Lepisosteus oculatus: one gene and its partners. The protein of the gene in region 3 purifies or fractionates together with the protein of the main gene of each other region. This does not show direct contact. Links are inferred from orthologs where the notes say so. Each region holds a gene or a part of one and is shown on either strand. Other genes may lie near its edges.

Evidence for each region. Proteins that work in one complex are often made in the same cells at the same time.
Region 1: the proteins of clns1a (region 3) and wdr77 purify together in Homo sapiens (affinity purification with mass spectrometry; 6 studies listed by BioGRID and IntAct, with this or other methods). This does not show direct contact. The link is inferred for Lepisosteus oculatus from reciprocal best matches to the Homo sapiens genes CLNS1A and WDR77.
Region 2: the proteins of clns1a (region 3) and epb41l3a purify together in Homo sapiens (affinity purification with mass spectrometry; 3 studies listed by BioGRID and IntAct, with this or other methods). This does not show direct contact. The link is inferred for Lepisosteus oculatus from reciprocal best matches to the Homo sapiens genes CLNS1A and EPB41L3.

What each region holds. Positions count from the first base shown.
Region 1 is NC_090700.1:36,483,991-36,490,959, reverse strand, and holds the start of wdr77 (methylosome protein WDR77), read left to right. Parts: upstream 1-2,745; 5' UTR 2,746-3,050; coding exon 3,051-3,150; intron 3,151-4,461; coding exon 4,462-4,647; intron 4,648-5,384; coding exon 5,385-5,526; intron 5,527-6,805; coding exon 6,806-6,855; intron 6,856-6,969. UniProt on the Homo sapiens protein: Non-catalytic component of the methylosome complex, composed of PRMT5, WDR77 and CLNS1A, which modifies specific arginines to dimethylarginines in several spliceosomal Sm proteins and histones.
Region 2 is NC_090701.1:55,494,309-55,501,277, reverse strand, and holds the start of epb41l3a (band 4.1-like protein 3a), read left to right. Parts: upstream 1-2,762; 5' UTR 2,763-2,880; intron 2,881-3,641; exon of another isoform or gene 3,642-3,830; intron 3,831-6,969. UniProt on the Homo sapiens protein: Tumor suppressor that inhibits cell proliferation and promotes apoptosis. Modulates the activity of protein arginine N-methyltransferases, including PRMT3 and PRMT5.
Region 3 is NC_090700.1:9,907,802-9,914,770, reverse strand, and holds the start of clns1a (methylosome subunit pICln), read right to left. Parts: upstream 3,336-6,969; 5' UTR 2,995-3,335; coding exon 2,876-2,994; intron 2,333-2,875; coding exon 2,196-2,332; intron 369-2,195; coding exon 243-368; intron 1-242. UniProt on the Homo sapiens protein: Involved in both the assembly of spliceosomal snRNPs and the methylation of Sm proteins.

The sequences.
Region 1 (6,969 bases), about 27 Mb from region 3:
TGTTATCTACATGTTCAATACAGTTTCCTCCAGGTGCTCCGGTTTCTTTACGCAGTCCAGAGACATACTGGTAGGTTAATTTGCTTCTGAGAAATTAGCCCTGGTGCAAGTGAGTATGTGTGTGTATCTGTGTGTGCTCTGTGATGAACTGGCCTCCCATCCAAGGTGTACCCCACCTTTTGCCCACTGCTTGCCAGGTTAGGCTCCGACTGCCCCATAATACTGAATTGGAAGAAGCAGTTAGAAAATGGATGGATGGTTTTGTTAACCAACTCACTGTAGAACCAATCAGCTTCAAAAATGGGCTGACTGGAACTGGATGGACATTTTTTCTAATTTAATTCTCATTTACTGAAACCATTTCCTGAGTTACAAAAAACGCTAACACATAAGTACAGTTCCCACCCACTAGGCTGATGGGTAACAGCCATTTTGTACCAGCAAACCCCACTGCACAACAGATCAGACAGAGACATAAGACACTGATTAAGAAATTGAACTAAGGAGGAACTTAATTGTGACCAGATCATTCAGCCCATAGTGGAATATAGTCAGGGCACTGGGGTTAATTTAAATTAAGGGTTAAAAGCTCTACTTTTACAGACAGTGTCATGGGATCTCTATTGACATCACATACTGTAGTCAGGACCCTGGTTTAACATCTTATTCAAAAGACTGCAGCAACAAAAAACATGGCACTGTCTCTGTCACTATCTCTTTGCAATGCGGTGACCAGATCAGTACATAATATTCTAAATTAGGTCTTATTAGTGTATGATACAAATGTACCATAATATCCATTGATTTAAATTGCTTTTAACTACATATTCTGTGTTTGTGTTTCCTCACTTTGCCTAAGAGGTGTAAATGATGTGTCAATATAAATACTTAAAGCAGTTTCATATGTCTTTTCAAGCTCAGTGTTTCCTATTTTGTATCTATAATTTACGTTTTTGCAACCGGCATACAATACTCTGCACTTGTCTACAATAACATTATCTGCCCGGTGTTAACCCAGGCTTAAATTACATTAAGAAAAGTCCTTCTACAGTATTTATTAATTCTTCTGGTTTTTTTTATCATCTTCACACTTCAATAGTTCACTGACTATACCAGAATCTTGATACAAATTAGGAACCGCAGTAATCCAAGTACAGATCCCTCAGGTACTCCATTAATTACATCCCCCCAGTGATCTCTGCTGTCTTATATTCACTGATCAGTTCTCAGTCCAAGTGGTTGCATACCTAGCCCCTGTAATTTGATAATGAATCTTTTATTTGGAACTTCAAAAATCTGAAAAGCTAAACATATTGTTTAAAATGCAATAACCAGATGAAAAACTGCCTATTCGCCGAACATTACTTGTTTTTTCGTACTTCGAAAGCAGGTGGATGCCGCTGTTTATCGCTCAAAGGCCTGGCTGCACGGGAAGCTGTTATTCTTGTCATAACGAGATTGATTCGTCTATCACATGATCGATTACTGTCAAAATTGTTACGTAAAAGTACACAGTTGAGAATGATAAATAATTGTTACAAATATCGCCACATGGTCCATTATACTCATGCACACTGCGAACAAAGCACTTAACTCCCGAATTACTGATTAAGTGTATAACATGAATATTAATTTGGTAAAATATTTACTAATGTGTTTAAAAATGATGTATCTTTCACTGTACATGAGCATGGTATATGGTATAACTTAATGCTATTTAGCTAGCTCTTGGACATAAGTAATACAAAGAGAAAAAAACAACAACAACAATACAATTGTGTAGCAAAAGAAAGACAGAGACAACAGGCAGTGTGCAAAAAACAACAACAGACGATGTGCAAAAAAACAACAACAGGCAATGTGCTAAACAACAAAAAGGTAACAGGTTATGTGCAAAAATATGCATTAACAGAATAAAATAAAGGGATAGAAAATATGGGGAGTGAGCTTTTGACATGTATGGTAGAGGTAGATTTTCAATGTGTGTTTGGGTTTTTGGTAAGAAAGAAAGAAAGGAAGAAGGCACTGTGAGGTTCAGATCATAGGTGAGAGGTGAGGTGAGAGTGAGAGTGAGAGAGGCTGGGAATTGAACAGTTTGATAGTGCGGGGGTAAAAACTCTCTCTGAGTCTGGTAGTCCGGGCCCGAATGCTCTGGTACCGTTTTCCAGATGGTAGCAGATCATAAAGTCTGTAGCTGGGGTGTGTGGGGTCTTTGATCATGCTTAGAGCTTTCCTCAAGCACCGCTGTCATAAATGTCCTGGATAGATGGGAGGGTAACCCCAGTGATGGACTGGGCAGTTTTCACCACCCGCTGTAGGGCTTTGCGGTCAGCAGCACTGCAGTTGCCATACCACACTGTGATGCAGCCTGTCAGTGTGCTTTCTGGAGTGCATCTGTAAAAGTTAGTGAGGATCTGGGGACATATCTTAGCCTTCCTCAACCGTCTTAGGAAGTACAGGCGCAGTTGCGCTTACTTGATCAGTAATTCTTTGGAATATACATGAAACTAAACTCTTGGATAAACATTTTTAAATAATAAGTATTCAAGTTAATCGTTTTTAGGAATAAAAATCAAAATCGTGACATGTTTTATTTGTATAAGACCCTGTAGAGGGTCGACGTTAGCTCTGCAGTACTCTATCTGCACTTTGTGATGATTATATGCGGAAAGGGGCGGCAAATCAAATGGTAACCAAGCAACCGGTACTCGCGCGAGAGCGAGGCCAGCGGAGGCAGGGCTGGTGCAGAGGGGGGACCTGGAAGCGGAAGCACGTGGTGGATGGACCTTGGCAGTTCTGGCTCATTCATTCGCGGGTCTGGATCGGGGGAAAAAAGAGGAGAGTGAGCGTGTCAGCAGGGTAAAGTTGACACCTTTTCGGCAGGGAGGACTGGAGTGGAGAGGGTTGCTGGAGGTGGATTCGGAAATCGGGCTTGGCACCTTGTTGTATGTGGAACCTAAAATCCGGAGCCAGGAGCAATCGAGGAGAGTAAAGAACGGAAATCCAGTTCGTTGGTGTTAATTGATATAAGCAGCAGCAGCCGCGTGTGAATGAATACTACAGCTATGATCAAGGAAAATCGCTGGAAAATACCTCCCAATGCCCCGGCTTGCATGGAAAAACATCTGGACTCAGTCCAGTACAGAGCAGGTAAATCATTAATTACGTGTTTAATTGGCGTGTCGTCTGTGGGTTATACATGGCGTGCATGTGGCCTGTTTGATCTCGGGTCTTTAATTGTATCGGTGAACCGGTCAAAATAACGTTTTACCTGACACTCTGTTTTCGTATGCCATTAGTGGCTGTATGTTTTATTTTTAATGAAAGCCACGCTATCCGTTCAACTGTGCATTGAAGGAGCACAGGAAACATAGTGATATCAAAGTTCTCGTAGTAGCAACCTGTTGTACATTACCGAGTAACCGCCGTGTGTCTGAACGTTTATGCCGCCGTTCACAATGTCTCTTACTATCTGGCAGGAGCCGCAGGTTATCTCGGAATGCGATCTTTCGTTAAAACTCTGCGAGACCACAAACCCGGGTAGTCGGCGGCGGTAGAAGCCATACAGCGTGACTGCTGTGTTTGCGCAGGCCCGCCCGGCGGTCCGGAGAGCTGTCCCGTCGTGTCGGCCAGCGTAGTGTGAAAACGAGCGTGGTTCTAGTGCTTTTGTACGATCCGAGTGCCCGGTACAGAAATTTGCTTCCTAGCTGGGCATAACCGCAGATATAAGTGCAATCGGAAGAGCCTATATTTTGGAACGTGTCAGCTGTTGATGGGGAGGGCTTTCTTTTTCTTCTTTTTGAGACAAAAAGACCTCATTTTGTTTGCTAGGTGTTTCCTCCCCCAGGGTGCCGGGGGGAGAAGGGGGGACTGTGGGGTGTTGCATATCTAGGTGACGGGATAGGGACAGAGGGCAGCAGGCTACAGGCAGCTGAGAACGGGACAGTGAGGAGACAGGGGTGCTCTGAAAGGGATTACGGGCAGAGGAGTGGATTGATAGGTCCATTTCCTGTCTTTAATTCAGTACGTGCTTAGGCAGATGCATCTGGGTATAAAACATCAATTAAAAACGTAATTGTTCTATTAGTAAAGGAGTGTGGCTTCCATTAGGAGATATTGCCTCAAGGCAGGTAGACGTCAGTACTTTCTCAGAACTAAACCTTTCCCTGGTACGTCTACATAAGAGAGGTTACACTTATTTGGAAAATGTAGGCTTTTGGTTGCTGAAACCCGATCAATCTGAGGGTCTTTACCAGCCATTTCTTGAAATAAACCACAGCTGTGTGGCTGGCCTTAAAGAATTGCCTCCCTTTCTCTATTTTAAATGCTCTTTCTCGTAGTTTCTGCTGGTGTGCTCTTCCTTGTGGAGCAGTGACCCATTTTCCCACAGTAGCTGGCTGATAGTTCTCCCTGGAGTGCCTCTGCCCTGAACGCTGTGGCGTTTGTTTTTCTCTCCTCCAGATGGCTCCCTGCTGCTCAGTGCCTCCAGCCTGATGGGGCGCTGCTGGCTGGGCTCCATCTGGGTGTTCAAGGACCCCCAGCTGGCGCCGAAAGAGGGGCACTGCAGCGCCGGGGTGCAGACCGAGGCCGGCGTGGCGGACGCGAAGTGGGTGTCCGAGCGGAGTATCCTCGTGGGCTCGGACTCCGGTGAGTTTCCTCGTTGTTCTGGTTGGAGTGGCAGAGCAGTAACCAGGGCCAGCTGGGCTCAGCACTGGAGATCAGCCTTTGTCGTGCTCTGAGTGTATGGGAGGGTGGCTAGAAGCAATGTATTACTTTTAAACCAGCAAAGAGAAAATCTGTTTGTATGTTATAATATATTTGATATTTAAATACCATATGTTATTGGCTTCATTGGGTGAAACTGTTGGGTGCAACAGCCTTAAGTGTTAGGAAGGTGAACGCTAGGGGGTAAGGTGTTTGGTGAATGCTAGGGGGGTAATTGAAGAAGTGTTGGTTTGCAGGAAAATGGCAATTGAAAATGCAACTGCTACATTGTTACTTCTCATTCCCCATATAGTAGTGATGGTGCATCTCATTCCCCATATAGTGGAGAATTTCACCCCCTTGTAAATTATCTTCCTACTCTCTGAAGCTTGAAGCCAGTTCTGATAGTGAAACATGAAAGCGATTTGTTCTGTCGTTTCTGTCGAGGAGAGCGCTGATGATTCAGTGAGTGGCTGGTTGAGGTTTTGTTATAGTTCGATTGTCCTCTTAATGTTCTGGTAAGGGAGTGGGAACCCAACTGGGCTTCTGTGACGAGAGAGAGAGGGAACTAGTTATCCCTGCTATGACTGAAGTGTCTGGGGCGACTGCTGTGCTGCTGTGAGTGTGTGGAGAGCTGACACACTGTGGTCTCTTCCATGTCTGCCTGTCTGTTGTCCCAGGCGCGGTGGAGCTGTGGGAGTTGGCTGAGGACGAGTCCCTGATCGTCAGCAAGTTCTGCCACCACCACCACGACGACATCGTCACTACCGTCAGCCCGCTGGCCCAGGGGACACAGGCGGTCAGTGGCAGCATGGACTGCTGGTCAGTGTGCTCTTCACTGCCTGCTCTCTGAAAGCCAGGAGCTCGTGCCTGCTGCCCTGTGCTGGGCCTTAATCCATCGAGCAGGACCATTGTGCTGCGTTGTGGCAGAAAAATGGAAATGTAGGAATTGATAAAAGAGTAAAACTTTGAAATAGACCTCTGTAAATCAGATTTTTTTACTTGCAGTGTTGACATCCATATTAGGACAGTGGATATGACCTCCTGTTTGTCTCCTGATCCCTTACACACACACATTCTGTTGTGTACAGGGCCACACAGAATGCGAGTACTCATTGTGTTTGTATATATAACCACCAGAAATAATTAGGTTAGAAAATGTTCTGTTTGGACTCTGATGTTCGGTTAGATTACAGTGTTAATGTGACTGACTATGGCAGGCATCTCCAACCCTGGTCCTGGAGAAACCCATTTTAGTTCGTTTTGTAGGTCAGGAACACCATGAAGATCAGTTAAGATCTGATGTGTAGATCGGTTAGGCAAGTAGGTTTTTCAGGTGAGAGACTTCTGGGCAGAATTTGGTCTCCAGTGATCTCTAAATTGCTCCATTTAAAAGATCACCTGATTAAGTGATCACAGTTAGATTGTCCCAGGTCTTCAAAAATCCATGATTTAATGGCCTACTTTAAAACCTGGTGGTGTACAAAGGGAATGTGGACATTAACTGTGTATGTCCTTTGAAACCTAATTAGCCTCAAGTTTTCAAATGTTAGCCGACTAGCTATTCTATAATGCCAATTTAAAATTGTAGGTCGTTATTACTGATTATTAATAGGAATTTTGTAATAAGATTAAGGTGGTTGTATTTATAAGACTGTACCCTTTAATAATATGAATACTCATTGGTTACGATGACTTGATTGAAATTGGGCGTGTCATGTATTTTGAGGTATCTGGATGTTTCAATTCAGTGTTATGTGTTAATGACTTTTGAAATGTTTGAGCACTTTGGTAAGTGCTTGAGATGATGAAGATAAGTGAAATATTATTCTTTAAACATTGAATTAAAGCGCTAGGCTTGAATATGTGATTATACCTTCGTGTTATATTGCTTGAACATCAACAGGTTTGGAGTCGCCTATTGTTATAGACTTTTCATATGGTCTTTTGCAGATGGTCTTTTTTTGTGTTGAAAGTACAGAGTAGCAGAACACCATCTGGCAAGCCATCTTTTGCAAGGCCTGAGTGCAGTTATACTTGTAGGATCGGTTTCTTAAAATGTTTAAAGTTTGGCATCTTGTCCTTATCCTTTTCCTTTCAGGATCAAAGTCTGGGATCTTGCCCAGGAAACTGTGGTCAACTCCTATAACGGTGAGTGGATTTGGGATCTAGCAATGCATTAAAGAGAGATTTTAGCTCCCTGTTGTTAAGTGCAATGCAATGTAAGCGTTACTTTATGCCTTTCTTGATCAGTGCCATAATTGT
Region 2 (6,969 bases), on a different chromosome or scaffold from region 3:
ACACCATGGTGTTTCTGCTGGGCAGCTTGTTTTATTTTTCCTTACCAAGGGATAGGCACTTTTCTGGTATGGAATGGGTGTGAACTGATCTAAAGAGTATGATGGGGGGGCAAAACAAGCAAGTTTGGTAAACCTATAGCAGTTTTTCAGATTGCTTAACGTGCATCTTAAACTGAGCATGGATCTTTATAGCTTACACCCCTGTGTAAGGAAAAGTGCCCCTGTTCTGTTGTAAACGCACTTCCCTTCAGTTGTCACTTTTCGCCCCCGGTTCATGATTCAGTGTTGATTCTGAAGATGTCCAGCTGGTTGACTTTGTCATCGACTTCAATTACTTTAATCATTTTCAGTACTTGAATTGGACCCCTTGTGATCTTTGTTCAAGACTAAAAAGGTTCAGTTCTTATAGCCCGAGGAAGACATTCTTTTGTGATCAGAAATGTACATGTACTGTATGGGGCATCACTCCTCTGGACTGATTTCAGAATAGCAGTGTGTTGCAGAGTTTCTGGTGTAAAATAAAATTATCGTGGTGATTTCAGTCTTCTGCTTCCTCCAGAATGTTCCAGCCCCCTGAAGGAGAGGAGCAGTATTTTATTGTAATACAATGGCACTTGTCTGGGCTGTGTGGGTCAGGACCTCAGAGGTCCGCCTAAGAATGTGGTTTGAATCCAGAAGTATATGGTGTTATCCATAGAGATAATGTGTGCATTTTTCTTGCTATTAAATTACCCATACTTCCCCTTGGTTTAAAAAAATGTTTAGTTTAGGAGATACACAAGTCTTTCTTATAGTGCTTTAACATAGAAACCTTCAAGAGCAACTTTTTTTCTTCCTTAAAAAGTCATTTAAGGATATTTCTGTTTTGCACTGTAGTTTACAGAGTGCTACAGAACATGATTTGTACTTGCATAGGGAGTAATTACTGGTTTTAAGTGACCGCACAAGAGTAAGAAGGATACCAGCACTGAGTGCAACACTGAAGTCCATAATGCAGGCTTTCTTGATGAACACCATCCACCCAATATCACTGTAAAAGCTTTGCTGGGAAGGCAGGATGGCTGTGAATGACTTACTGTACAGTATATATTGAAGTGCATTTTATTTTGCCTCCAACACATGCTCAGACTTAACCTTGAAGTTACCCTCTTGTTGAGGGTCACAGTAGCGAACACCAGGTCTGAAAAAGCATAGCAATCTGTCGTCGTGTGGCGTGTGTGATCTGGACCACAGCTGGCAGCTTGTGTAGCACCTGTAATGTCTCACCAGTAAATAAAAGTTCTCAGGTGCCTTCTAACCCCTATCGCCATGGTCATGGTTCTGGAAGATGGTACCTCAGCAGGTGTGGTTGTGTGGTGTGCTTGAGCACTCGATGCATAAAATATCACAGTACATGTGCTTCTCAAGACGGGGCCATAAAGACGTGTTCTACCTGGAATGGACTGCTGGCTTTCGGACTGGGATTTGGTCATCTTGTCCTCATGATGGCCTGTCCACACTGTGTGACTGTAGCAGGTGCTGCAGTGGAAGACGAGGGTGTCACTTTCATGTCATTCCCTAGCTTTCTCGAGTATTTGAATGATCTCCACTGTAGGGGTGTAGGCCTTTTGGTACTGGATGTAGCATTTATCTTGGCTGTGTAGGTCAGGCACTTGAAAGTACGTGAGACAGCAGCTAGGATTTGGGATTCAACCCCACACACTACATTAATGCCATGCCTTGGACCTGTGGATAGGCAAGAGCCTATCAGTTTCTAAGCTTGCTGCGGGTTTTGGCGAGAGGGAGTTTGACAGGTCCTGCTGTGTAAGATGAGGCTGTCATAGTGATGTCGCAGTCATGGTGTTCACATAATTTCACTGTAACAGGCCCCCTGTACTCTATGAACCCTGTTATACACACAAAAAAATCTCACATTATATTTAATGAATTCTTAATGATGCCTAATTATTTATAAATTGAATACAATGTAATGCATGCAGGATAATGGAAAAAATGCAAGTAGAATGTACTGTATGCTGCGATACTGAATACATGGTATGGTTCGTCAAGACTCAGAACCCAGAAAGGAATTTTTGTCAGTTAAGCAGCTCTTTGCCTTTGCCAGGGTTCATTTAGAATTTGTGAAGACTAAATGTGTGCAATTAGTTACAAGAGTTTAATTATACATGAATGAACACTGCAGCTGGCGGGTGCTGTTAAAATAACATATGTCCTTTTAACCCATCGTGGCCAGGAACACAGTGCAGGAAACTGACCCAGGGACACTTTTTTCAAAAGCTGTTAAAGCTTATTAAGCGAATTTAAATTCAAACGTTCAGCGTGTTCCAAAATATATACCTTTGCTGCCCTGAATTACAAAAAAAGGACTCCGAAAATCTGTTCAAGAACATCTTTATTTTTGAAAGAAGATCATGTCCAATTTCAGACGTTCAGTTCTCGGAAATTTCACCAAAAAAAAAAACCCGAGTTAAACTGCTTATTTGGCCCAGCAAGATAATTCTGCTCGGGAGAAGTGGGCATCCCAAGTTCCACTCGAGACCGTCTACGTGTATTTTCAGTCGAACGGGGTTTGCTCTGCTTCGGCGCCGTGTTCGTTTTGGGGTGACTTCGGTGGCCATCCCTCGCCCCGCTAGGTCCTGCAACACGCGTGTGGGTCGCCCGTACCGGCCGTGACTCATCCCGGAGGTGGGCTCTCATTCGCTCCCGCATCTTCTGCTAGAATAAGCGGAGGGTGCGCTGGCTGTCCTCGTGTATCCCAGAATGCCGCGCTGTCCCGTATCTCCTGCTCAGCCCGCTGGCGCTGGCGGTGACACAGCTGGCGAGCAGAGAGCGGACTGAGCTGCAGCCTCATCAGCCGAGCGGGGGGACACGGGATACCCGGTAAAAAGCTAGCAACTTATCGTATGCAAAAAAAAAAGGGGGATCTGCGGGCTCACGTTGTGTTGCATCGAAAGTGTCAAAGCGAAAACGAGAATTTTTGTAGCTGTGTTTGCAGGAATGAGGTAGGGAAGGGGGCACACTGTACATTTCCTGGGCATGCATCGCCCTGATACTGTATACAGTATGCGCGTCCTGTTTTTTTTTCTCCCCACAAAATAAATCTCTTCGGGCAAATCAGTGCGATTCCTTTTAGATGTGCCAGATTGTGTGTGTGTGTGTTTGCGTGTGCGTTTTTTTTTGTGTGTGCCTGCGTTAACGTCTACGGTGGCTATTTAAATACATCCGTGCACTCGAGGTTGTCGCCGCAGGAAGAAAAATCTGTGGTTGATACTTTGATACATTTAGAAGCTGTGAAGTAGCTGCAGGGAATTCATTTTGCGGAAAAAAGAGACTCCGGTCACTGAGTTTATTTCAATGCGGAGCACTTGAAAAAGTTTTTCTTGTATCCGTTAGGAAAAAAAAATGAAGACGATGTTTTAGCTAATAACGGCAAGGGTTTATAGCTCGTTTGCTCGCTTCAGTATTTTAGTGGCTGAAGTACGCGAGTCGCCGCCTCGGATGTCCAGTGCGACTCTCCTGCTTTCGGTCACTTCAGACCTGACACGACACCCCAGCGGTGCTCTGTGTGTTAGTTCTGCAATGCGGTGGGTGTGGTTTGGATGTAGTAACCGGGAGATGTGAACCTCTGCAGTCACAGCACACTCCACCGCCCCCCCGTCTGACTTGGCATTTTTTGCATCAAACAGAAATACACACCTATATTCTCTGTACGTGTGTGAAAAACGCTCAGTCGTGACAGCCCGTGACCCCCCCACGGCCACTAATACTCCATGCTACCAGTGTACGGTGAAAAAACAAGGGAGCAGTCTGGACGAAATAGCCGGTTATTGGTAAGTCTCCGGGAAACCAGATGGTTTTCATCAAATGAGGGGAAAATCGGCGGAGAGACGGGCGATATTGTAAGTCGCGCTTTGATTAATTTTCCAGCCTCGGCAATACAGTATACTCGTTTGCTTTGATGGAAATGGTTTTTCTGTGTGTTACTCAGCGTTTCACGTAACTAACCTTGGTGTTGCGATTTTATACGGACTTTTTTGTGACTTTTTAACATGCACATTCAAAATCCCTACTGGTTGCTTTGGAAGAATTTTTATTAATTGTATTGCATCGATAACTATTTCATCCTCTTAATTTTTCTAACGCTGGAGTGGATTGCTTGGAAACTAGCGATCAATTACCCGAGATGTGTTTTTTTTTTTAATGAAGGGGAGACTAGAAAAGTGTTAACCTTCAACTGCTAAGTACAGAATATATACAGTGCATTCTGATTTTACTGCAATGATGAGCCTGGCTTCAGGTTAAGAAGGTGAAGTACCTCCTACAACGCAAACCAGAGCGAATAGAGGTCTTCTTTCTGCGAAGTCATTCACAAAACATTTAAATTTTTTGGTTAATGTTTTGTGCAAAAAAAAAAATCGACACGCTTGAACCCAGAAGTTATCTTTACGCCGGAAGCAATGCTGCATTCGATAAAGGAGATGAAATATTTTAAAGTGTTTCTTGTTGTGGATGTCTCTCTTATCTAAGCAGCAAGGGTCTCTTGATCCTGAGGGTCTGGCTAATATTTGTCCTCCTGACAGCTTGCCATTTTGACTTATGGTTTTCCTCCTTTCTTCTCGGGCCCACCCTGAGGCTCGGCAGAAACAACGTGAACTCGCACGTCTGCTCACTAATGACCGTAGACTGTGCCACTGGGCACGGTGGCTGTTCTCCCATGTACTGTCAATTATAAAACATTTCAACTCATCTGAAGTAAGTGGCCATCATAACTACATACGGTGTTGCTAGTGGTCCTCCTCCCGAGAAATGAAGCTATGCCTGTTATATTTATCACAGAGAGAAAGGTCTGAGTGTATTCATCAAATGTACTTTTACAGCACCTAAGCAGGCTGACAGAATGCCCCTGACAAATGTGTTCACAAGGGAGACAAAAACGGCATTAAAAATTAACGGGGCCAGTCTGTGTTGCTGTGGAATTAGATCAAAGACCTTATCTGATTTTTTTTTTCCAGGTATACAGGAAAGAAAAAAATCCAATATCCGGATGGACTTTTATCTTTATAGAAAAAGCCGTAGCGTACTATTAACATGTAATATTAATATCCCATTTTTTTTCCTTTTACTTCGGTTCGTCTAAAAAAAAAATAATTTCCATATCAAGTCCTGCTAAATTGACTATTCTGTAGACCTGCCTATAAATAAATAGGTATTTCAGATCTGTAAGAAATGTTCTACTCATTTACTTAGTATTTCAGGTCTCACCTATTTTTAAGTGCTGCTGTGTTTATTTTCCGTTATAATACGTTTCATTTTGACCTAAATGCTGATGTCACATGGCGGGTATTTCCACAGTCCTTGAACGCTGTGGCAACACAGATGAGAGTAAGTAGTCGAAGGGATAGGGAGAAAAAAAATGAAAAGGCTGAGATCATTAACGAAGAGGGGAATTGCACGGTCAGTTTATTTTTTGGTTTCTTAATCGTTTGCCTTGAACAGATGAAAATGTAAAATGTTCTAAGAATGGGGAAGCTGGAATTTCTGGTGCTTCCCATAGTGCAAAGCTTATAATACAGACTGTAGCACACAGCAAGTCTGGCAAGTCACCGTCACAGACAAGCTTACCGTAGGTGTCAACAAGAATGGGGAAGGTACCTGACTTAATGGACTATTCTGGAATCAGCTCTTAAAAAGGTTCAAATCATCTGCTTTAGATTAAATCAAGATTAAAACATTGTAATTTTAGATCTTATTAGCTAAAGAACACAATTATTTCTAACCAAATATAAGCTAGCACAGCTCTGTTTTTAATTATATTTGTGGCGTATTACAGGATGCTCTCAATAAATCCTGATATAAGAAGGCTGAGTTCTTATATTTAGAATTTAATAAGTAGTTAGAGATGCACGCTGCATCCTGTCAGTTAAGGTTTAGGTTAAAATGTTGCAATCCGACTGGTCGACCATACCAGTGCTGGCCGGGCCCAGCCTTGCTCAGCCTCCGAGATCTAATGAGATCAGGTTACAGAGCGGTAAGGCTGCTGTCTGTCTTCTTTCTTTTGATGATATCATAAATGGAGAAGTTTTAAAACAGCTTTATTGGTTACAATTTAGATTCTCAAAAGCTTAATTAAAGGTGCAGAATGTTTCCACTATTCGTATAATTTTATAGCGTACTGTACATCGGTGTTACATCCTGCATGCTTCTCTGTGTGTGCTCCTAGCAGGTAAAGCAGAAGCAGGAGACTGCAAATTGAGCTGATTGTATTTTAGGAATACTGATGTCGTTCAAACCCTTTAGTTACGGAGCAAGGCTGCATAATAACAAAATTGATGAATAATTACTGTAGGTAAGCTGTAGATCAGAGAGATTTGTCTACAATGTTGTGCTCAGTGTTAATACTGCTAGCTAACTACTTCAGGAAATAGAATTTAATTCCTTGAAAAGGTTTAGTTTACCTTTTCCACCAGGAAGGCATATCTGTGGACAGCATGTGTATGAGAATATGTCTCTTTTAATGTCATCCATTGGCTTCCAAGTGACATTTTAACATTTGGTCGAGTAAACAGAGAACAGGGCTGTTTAATGACTTAAAACCTGCATGCGCATCCATCGTTTTTGTAGTTTGAACAAAAATTGCATGATTTGGTATTAAATTGAATTTTCGTTCGTAACAATTAATGCTTTAAAAGCTTTCTGACAAGACATTTTCTGGCCTGTGTCTCTCACGGCTCTGCATTTTCTCAGGATTTTCTATCAGTGGGTTAAAAGGTTTCAAAATTGAGTGGTGGCAGTTATTTGACATTTTTAATAGTCCTTCTTTTCATATTTATCTGCCAGTTCAAATGCATGTATTTTTAGATGAACGTCTGTCATCGTAATGGGAACTTAATGAAACATTTATTGCCTTACATGTATTTTAACATCCTCCTGACCTTATTTGCCTACTCAGTTATTAATGTTAACGTTGAT
Region 3 (6,969 bases):
AATCCTTCAAAAACTCCTTCCATAGTCTAACAGTTACATGGTATTTGCCGTTTACTGTAAACTAAAGTTATAAAGCACACCAGCTGGGACTATACACAAATTAATCTGCTCAGGGAAAAACACAAAAACTTTTTACCCCCCAAAAAACAAATTACAAACACTGACAACTACGTAGGCTATCATACGTACTGACAGGTTGAGCACCCGGCACAGCACAGAAGGGAAGATTTTTCCAAACTCACACGCCATCTTATCACTGGGAACAAATCGGATTTCTGTGATGGGGTCCGAGTCGTCATCGCTCTCATCGTCCTCATCCTCTCCTTCAGCTGCTTTCTCCTCCATCTGAGATTCTGTCACCTCTTCATCTAGAAAGGGATGAGAAAATCAAGCCAGGGCCATGCTTCCTCTACAGAGAGAGAGCCAAAGGGGTCTAATTGTACTTGCTGGCTTGCACTGCGCAGAGAGCCTAGAGCATGATCATTTTGGTCCGTCTGTCCTTCCAAATGGTTCAGGTAAAATTAAAACTTGGTTTAAGGAGTGCCGTTCTCCAGTGCCTGGAAAGGGAAGCGTCACTTTAAGAACTTTCACAGAACAGTACCGCAGGCAAGCCTCTCAGACTACTGGGACTCTTGTTTCTGGGAGACCGGCTTTGCACAGCTCAGATTCCACCACCATAGATGCACAGCTAACAGGCCAAACAAGCAAAAAAGAAACAAACTTCCTGGCCCGTGATCCAGTATAATTCATGTTAACTTCAATGGGTTTGACCAAGTGAACACCAACATGGCAGAGATGGCATTAAGCCAAAAGTGGGGGCTGGGGCTGGATTTAGATGAAAGGCACTGTTACTGTAGCTTGTAAAAGGCTCATGTAGCAGGCTTTAGAGAGAGCCCTTGCCAGTCTGTGCCCCTCAGTGGAAGGTATGTACAAGGCCTTATGATTTATGGCACTGCTTCGCTGTTCACTGAGGTAACATCCTGCTGATTGTTGCTAGTAGGTACCCAAAGATAGTGCAAAGTCAATGTGAAGCTTTTGTAAGTTCTTTATATTTGAATACAAAGAAGTCCTGCTTTCATTTAAATAAACTAAGAGTGAAATAATATCCAGTCAAAAAGAGAAAAGCGAAGTTTCTTCAGATTTCCTAGTGGTAATCTCCTGTATCCTTGTGGAAGTAACCAGACTAGGCATTTGCTAGTTCCTAAACAAATCTTTTCCAGCTACACCAAAATAAACATCGGCACTTTATGGCAGCAAACACAAAGTACAATACCAGCTGTCTAAAATGTAGCATCACATTCATTTTAATTTTATGTTATAGCTGGGTGCTACTTATCTGTGCTCAGCAGCTTCCAGGCTTATTTAAATGTCTTTCTGCAGTGGGGACTGGCAGGAGTCCCTGGGAGTAACAATGCGCTTTTATTTCAGCAGAGGGCTATAGAACGGGGTGGAAATCTGTGCGGGGCTGTTCAAGACAGCTTGAGACTGTACGACCCTAAGGGAAGAAAGAACGGTCTCTTTGCTTCTCTCATGCTTGGAACACCAGGAGAATAACTCTACAGCAGAGTGCAAGGCAGCATTGACGAGCACAGAATAATAAACGCAGCCGCCCAAGCCACCCACTGCTGTATTGCGATGCCTCCACAGCTCCACATATCTACCTGCGATATGGCCATCAAGGCTGGACTCGCCTGCATATTCAAAAGCCTGTTCAGTCAATAATCAGCATTTGAGGTGGCATGAAAGACCACAACTCTTTTCCTTTACTGCACAGGGTTTATTCCCCGATCTTCCCTTCAAACCGTTTTCAGGTAGTTACAAAAAAGAGTGCCATGCTGGTGCCAATTTAGTTCAGCCGCAATGAATGCACGAGTATGTTATCCAGAACCGAACAGGCACACTTTAGCCCTTCATGTGCTTGCTGGGCAGGACAAGGCTGTACTGTATTTTTTTTACACTATGTAGAATATTGATGGGCCTGGAGAAATAGGTTTATTGAATCCAATGTATTCTCAAGAGGGAGCGTTTTTCCTCCTCATAACTGTTCAAATCGGAGCAAATCACTAAACTACTTTATTCCAGCCCCCAACTTCAACTGTAATCCTTACGATTGCCAGTCGATCGTCCCTTTCTAAAGATTTTTTTTCTTAGTGTCAGCTGTCCCGTCATCATTCATCAACAGCACGCCGCCTCACCGCTCAGCTTGGCGTTGACCATGACGTACAGATGCTCCTGGGGATAGGCGCTGAGATCGCGGGAGATGGCGTGGAGGCTGATGGAGGGGTATTCCAGAGAGAAGCCCTTTCCCGACACGTCAAACCACGACAGGCGGCTGTCACAAAACACACGAAAAGAAAGACGGTGGCGGATTAGGTGGGTGCACACGCGAGTCACTCCCTACACCCCCAACGTCTCAATCGCGCCAACTGCATAGGAGTAGTCCGAAATCACAGGCAAAACCACGATGACGCGATCTTTGTCTGCGGACTCGCAAATGTTGTTTTTTTTTTCCAGAAAGACTCCGGAGAAAGTTTTTTTGGCATCTGCTGATGATGCATTTTTACTGCTGGCACAATCGGAGAGGACGATCGTACAAAACGACGCATCGGAAAGAGTTGGGGGTTTTCCTTCTGGCGAGGGGTGCTTGGCCATCACAGGTGTAGCGCGCTGTCACGTGTTTGACATCGCACACCGGGCAGTGTCGCCTTTCCCCCTCAGATACCTGTTGATCATCTGGAGAAGCAGGGTGAGATGAGGCAAGAACTTTTTTTCCCACCCTAAACAGGTTTCTCTTTCGCTTTTTACACACATCAAAGGGGCAGGCGAAAAAGAGTTTTCAGTTGACCAGTCCTAACCCGTGTGATAGCGCACTTACTTTTCTGCAACGTAGAGGGTGCCAGAGCCCAGCCCCTTGCCATCCAGCACTGCCGTCGTTTCAGCCTGCTGGTGCCTGACGCCTTCACTGGGAGGGGAGACGTTTTTCAGCAAAACCATCGTCTTAAGGAAAAGTGCCGCGCCTGACCCCCCGTTAAAAAACAACGACACAGAAACAGCCCCGCAGATCGCCGAGAAAAGCCGGCCTAAACCGCAAACGACAGCGAGAAATCCGATCAAGCAGAGGGCAAAAAAAAAATAAAAATAAAAACTGCGATTCAGTTTTCACTCGCACGGCTGTATTTATAACGAAAGGCTGGAGCAAAAGGGTACAGTCCTGGTCTGTTTGTTTCTCCGTAAAAGTCGCCTCACTCCCGCAGTCGCTCAGTGGAAAACAAACCCCATGCTTCTCTAGGCTGCTTCTCTTCCTCTGAAGCTATCCCCCGCCAAACATATGGGCAAGCTTGCCCTGAAGTCAAAGACGTGAGCACAGCGCCAAAGAACGGTACGATTATTTAATAGCGCCATCTACAGGACTGGAGTTTAGTTGCACAATTGAAGACCTTAGCCATCTTCATCGTTACTGATAACAATGATGGTTGATTAATATCAAGTATTGGAGCATTGGTGATACAGACATATCTTGAACATGTATTTCTTACATCTTTTTAGATCTCTCCTCAAAGTGATTAACACGAATTTGGTATTGCCTAAACTGTTTATAAAAAATAAAACCAAGGTGAGTCTGAAAGCAGTAGATCGCAGTTGATTAAGTGTATTTCATAGTCATCTTCACGGATGTGACGGCTTATGTGCAGGTTAGACTTCAGATAACAGCTCTGCTAACACACAATTTGTAGGAAACTGCGATTTGGGTACAGAGCCCATTGTCGCAAAGATGACAACTGGTTAAGGCTAAAGGTTCTTAGGTTAATTAACTTTTGTGTGCTTTAGAGGTCATAATAAAGATACATTTAGAACACGAAGCTCAGTGACTGGTGGAGATTAAGTCACAATTTTATTATTAAATTCCATTTATATAAATAAGCACGGTGCTGTAGTTCATATGATCTTTCTAGATTTCTAAACGAGAGTGCAGAACTCTGGTTAAATTGCTTTTTAAAACGCAATTGCACCAAACACTGCCGCTATATCATGGTGATACTCTCTTTGTATCATGGTGGTATGTTTACGAACTGTATGTTTACCACCGCCCCAAAATTGTTTTAACAAGGAAATTGTGACAGAATCGAGTACAACATTACCTTGTTTTTAAAAATCTTGGTGATGACAGAATGATGAAAGGGTACCAGTTGTAGAAATTGCTATTGCTGTATGAATGGATTATCGCAAAAAAAAACCGTAATAACAAAATACCGCAAAAATTGAATACTTGGGGATTTTGAATCAGCTTTGTAAACAGACATACTGTAGGTTTGAGCTCACCAGAGTGATTTATTTTTTAAGAGATCGTATATTTCCCACAGACGTAAAATTCAATAAACATCGCTACCCGAAACAGATTGAAGTCTAGATTTAATACTTCTCTTATGACATCCACCGGGTTTGTAACGGTAAAGTAATTGGATGTGAATCTTCCGATGTTGACTTCCTACACAATGGAAAATATATAATAAAGCAATTGGCAGAGGCAGATACAGTACGCCTTTGTATTTTCGATTTCATCATTATAAAGCTGCTGTTTTCATACTTTGTGAACTTGATTCTACCGTCCTCGATTCCAAGCGTTACTTAAATGACACATAAAGCTACTTTAAAATGTCTTTTTAATGCTCGAAAAGAAGTGGCTGAAAACGCTTATAGCATCTATTGTTAACAGCAAAGACACTGCCCTCTGATTTTACTATCTGGCAGTAAAATTCACATACACATTCATTGAAGATACTTAAAGTGCAGAACCAGTACAGTCTTATAATAATAATAATTGCTTACACTTATGTAGCGCTTTTCTGGACACTCCACTCAAAGCACTTTACAGGTAATGGGGACTCCCCTCCACCACCACCAATGTGCAGCATCCACCTGGATGATGCGACGGCAGCCATAGTGTGCCAGAACACTCACCACACATCAGCTATCAGTGAGGATGAGAGCAGAGTAATGTAGCCAATTCATAGATGGGGATTATTAGGAGGCCATGATTAGTAAGGGCCAATGGGAAATTTGGCCAGGTTGTTACACCCCTACACTTTTCGAGAAACACCCTGGGATTTTTTAATGACCAGAGAGTCAGGACCTTGGTTTTACGTCTCATCCGAAAGACGGCACCTGTTTACAGTATAGTGTCCCCATCACTACACTGGGGCATTAGGACCCACATGGACCACAGGGTGATCGCCCCCTGCTGGCCCCACTAACACCTCTTCCAGCAGAAACCTTAGTTTTTCCCAGGTGGTCTCCTATCCAGGTACTGACCAGGCTCACACCTGCTGAGCTTCAGTGGGTTGCCAATTGTGAGTTGCAGGGTGATATGGCTGCTGGCTTAAGACAAAAATAAAAACCTACACTGGGAATTTTGCTGTAATATAGGAAACTAGTTAAGGCAGACAGGATGAAGCTTTTTATGACAAATTTACAAGTTTTATTTATACGAAAGAAATTACAGCAGGTTTAACAAAACGCTCTGAAAGAAAACAAAGAAAAAATGTTACACAGACTAAGGCCTGGAGCTAACATCTACGGCCAATGGCCTAGCTTATACACAAATATTTGACCAGACTGTAGTGAGACAACACTAAACACTTAAAAATATTGGCACTGATTTTCCATTATTTTATTTAGACCAACAATAATTGTGGAATTAAAGCAACAGAAGACCTATTTAAAATCTTGAGAGCACACAACATGGACTCAATTTAAAGTATCAAAAACAGTATGTTGGAGAAACTGCATGTACATCTTTCTCACTCCTGATAATTCAGTATTTTCTCAAATATTTTTCTCCAGCAGAAGGCAAGTCCCTTGCAAAAGGCTTTGATGGACATGAGAATGCAAAGCCTAAATATGACCGGGCACTATGTTCAAATGCTAAAACGAGGGTAAACAAATTAATTCAGGTAGGTAGCTGCGTCAGCATGCGTAGGCTGCAAAGGAAAAAGTAATAGGTTTATTCCATGCTGAAAAAAAGAAGAAAGAAAACTTCAAGAAGGTTCTACGGCCGAAAAGTTGTTTTCTTTCTTCTTTTTTTCAGCATGGAATAAACCTATTACTTGTTCCTAAACAAATTAATGGTAAGGTTGAGATATTTTAAAAAAAAATCAATTTTCCTTTTATTACTAACAAAATGTATAGTAAGCGCAAGACATACTATATAGTTTACAAAATATCTCTTGGTAAATTGCTGTAGTTACTCAGAAAACATGTAACAAGCACACTACTTAAGATCATTTTTGTCTAAGCAGTCGCTTTTGTCTTCAGTCACTTGGAACATGTCTCGTACATCTGTCAAAACACAAAATGATACATCCCAGACATACAACAGAGTATGTTTAATCTTTGCACTCAGATATTCTTCATCACTACAAATTCTGTGTAACTTGGTTTAGTATTATCTACACAGTTCGGTACCAAGAAATGAGATGTTGCTGGATACAAGTTAGGGAAAAGGGTGCAGGTCTGTGGGTTTAAACTCGAACCCTCAAGCAAAAAGACTACTACTGTCTGCAGGATGAAATCAAACACCATGCTGAAACTTTTTACATTACAAAAGTTGTGCAAAATATCACAACCCGCTACAAAAAATTATAAACAGTAGCAATTGTAAAGAATTGCTTTATATACCTTTTCATTATAAAAAAAGCTTCTAAATATGTTACAGCATAAACTACAAATATACACACAATTAAGAGATAGATATCTTTTTTTTTCTTTTCTCAAAGAAAAAGGGTTATGCCATTTTTGAGACTGTACACTTAAACTGAATGAAGTCTGCAGGGTATCAGGGTGATGAGTGCATCTTGGGCCCCCTCCAGGTATTCAATCACGCTAACTATGGTTTCAAAGCTACCCAGCGTCCCACCCGCGACAGGGCTGACGTCTGCCAAGTTTAAGAACCAGGTCACCTGCCACTGGAGT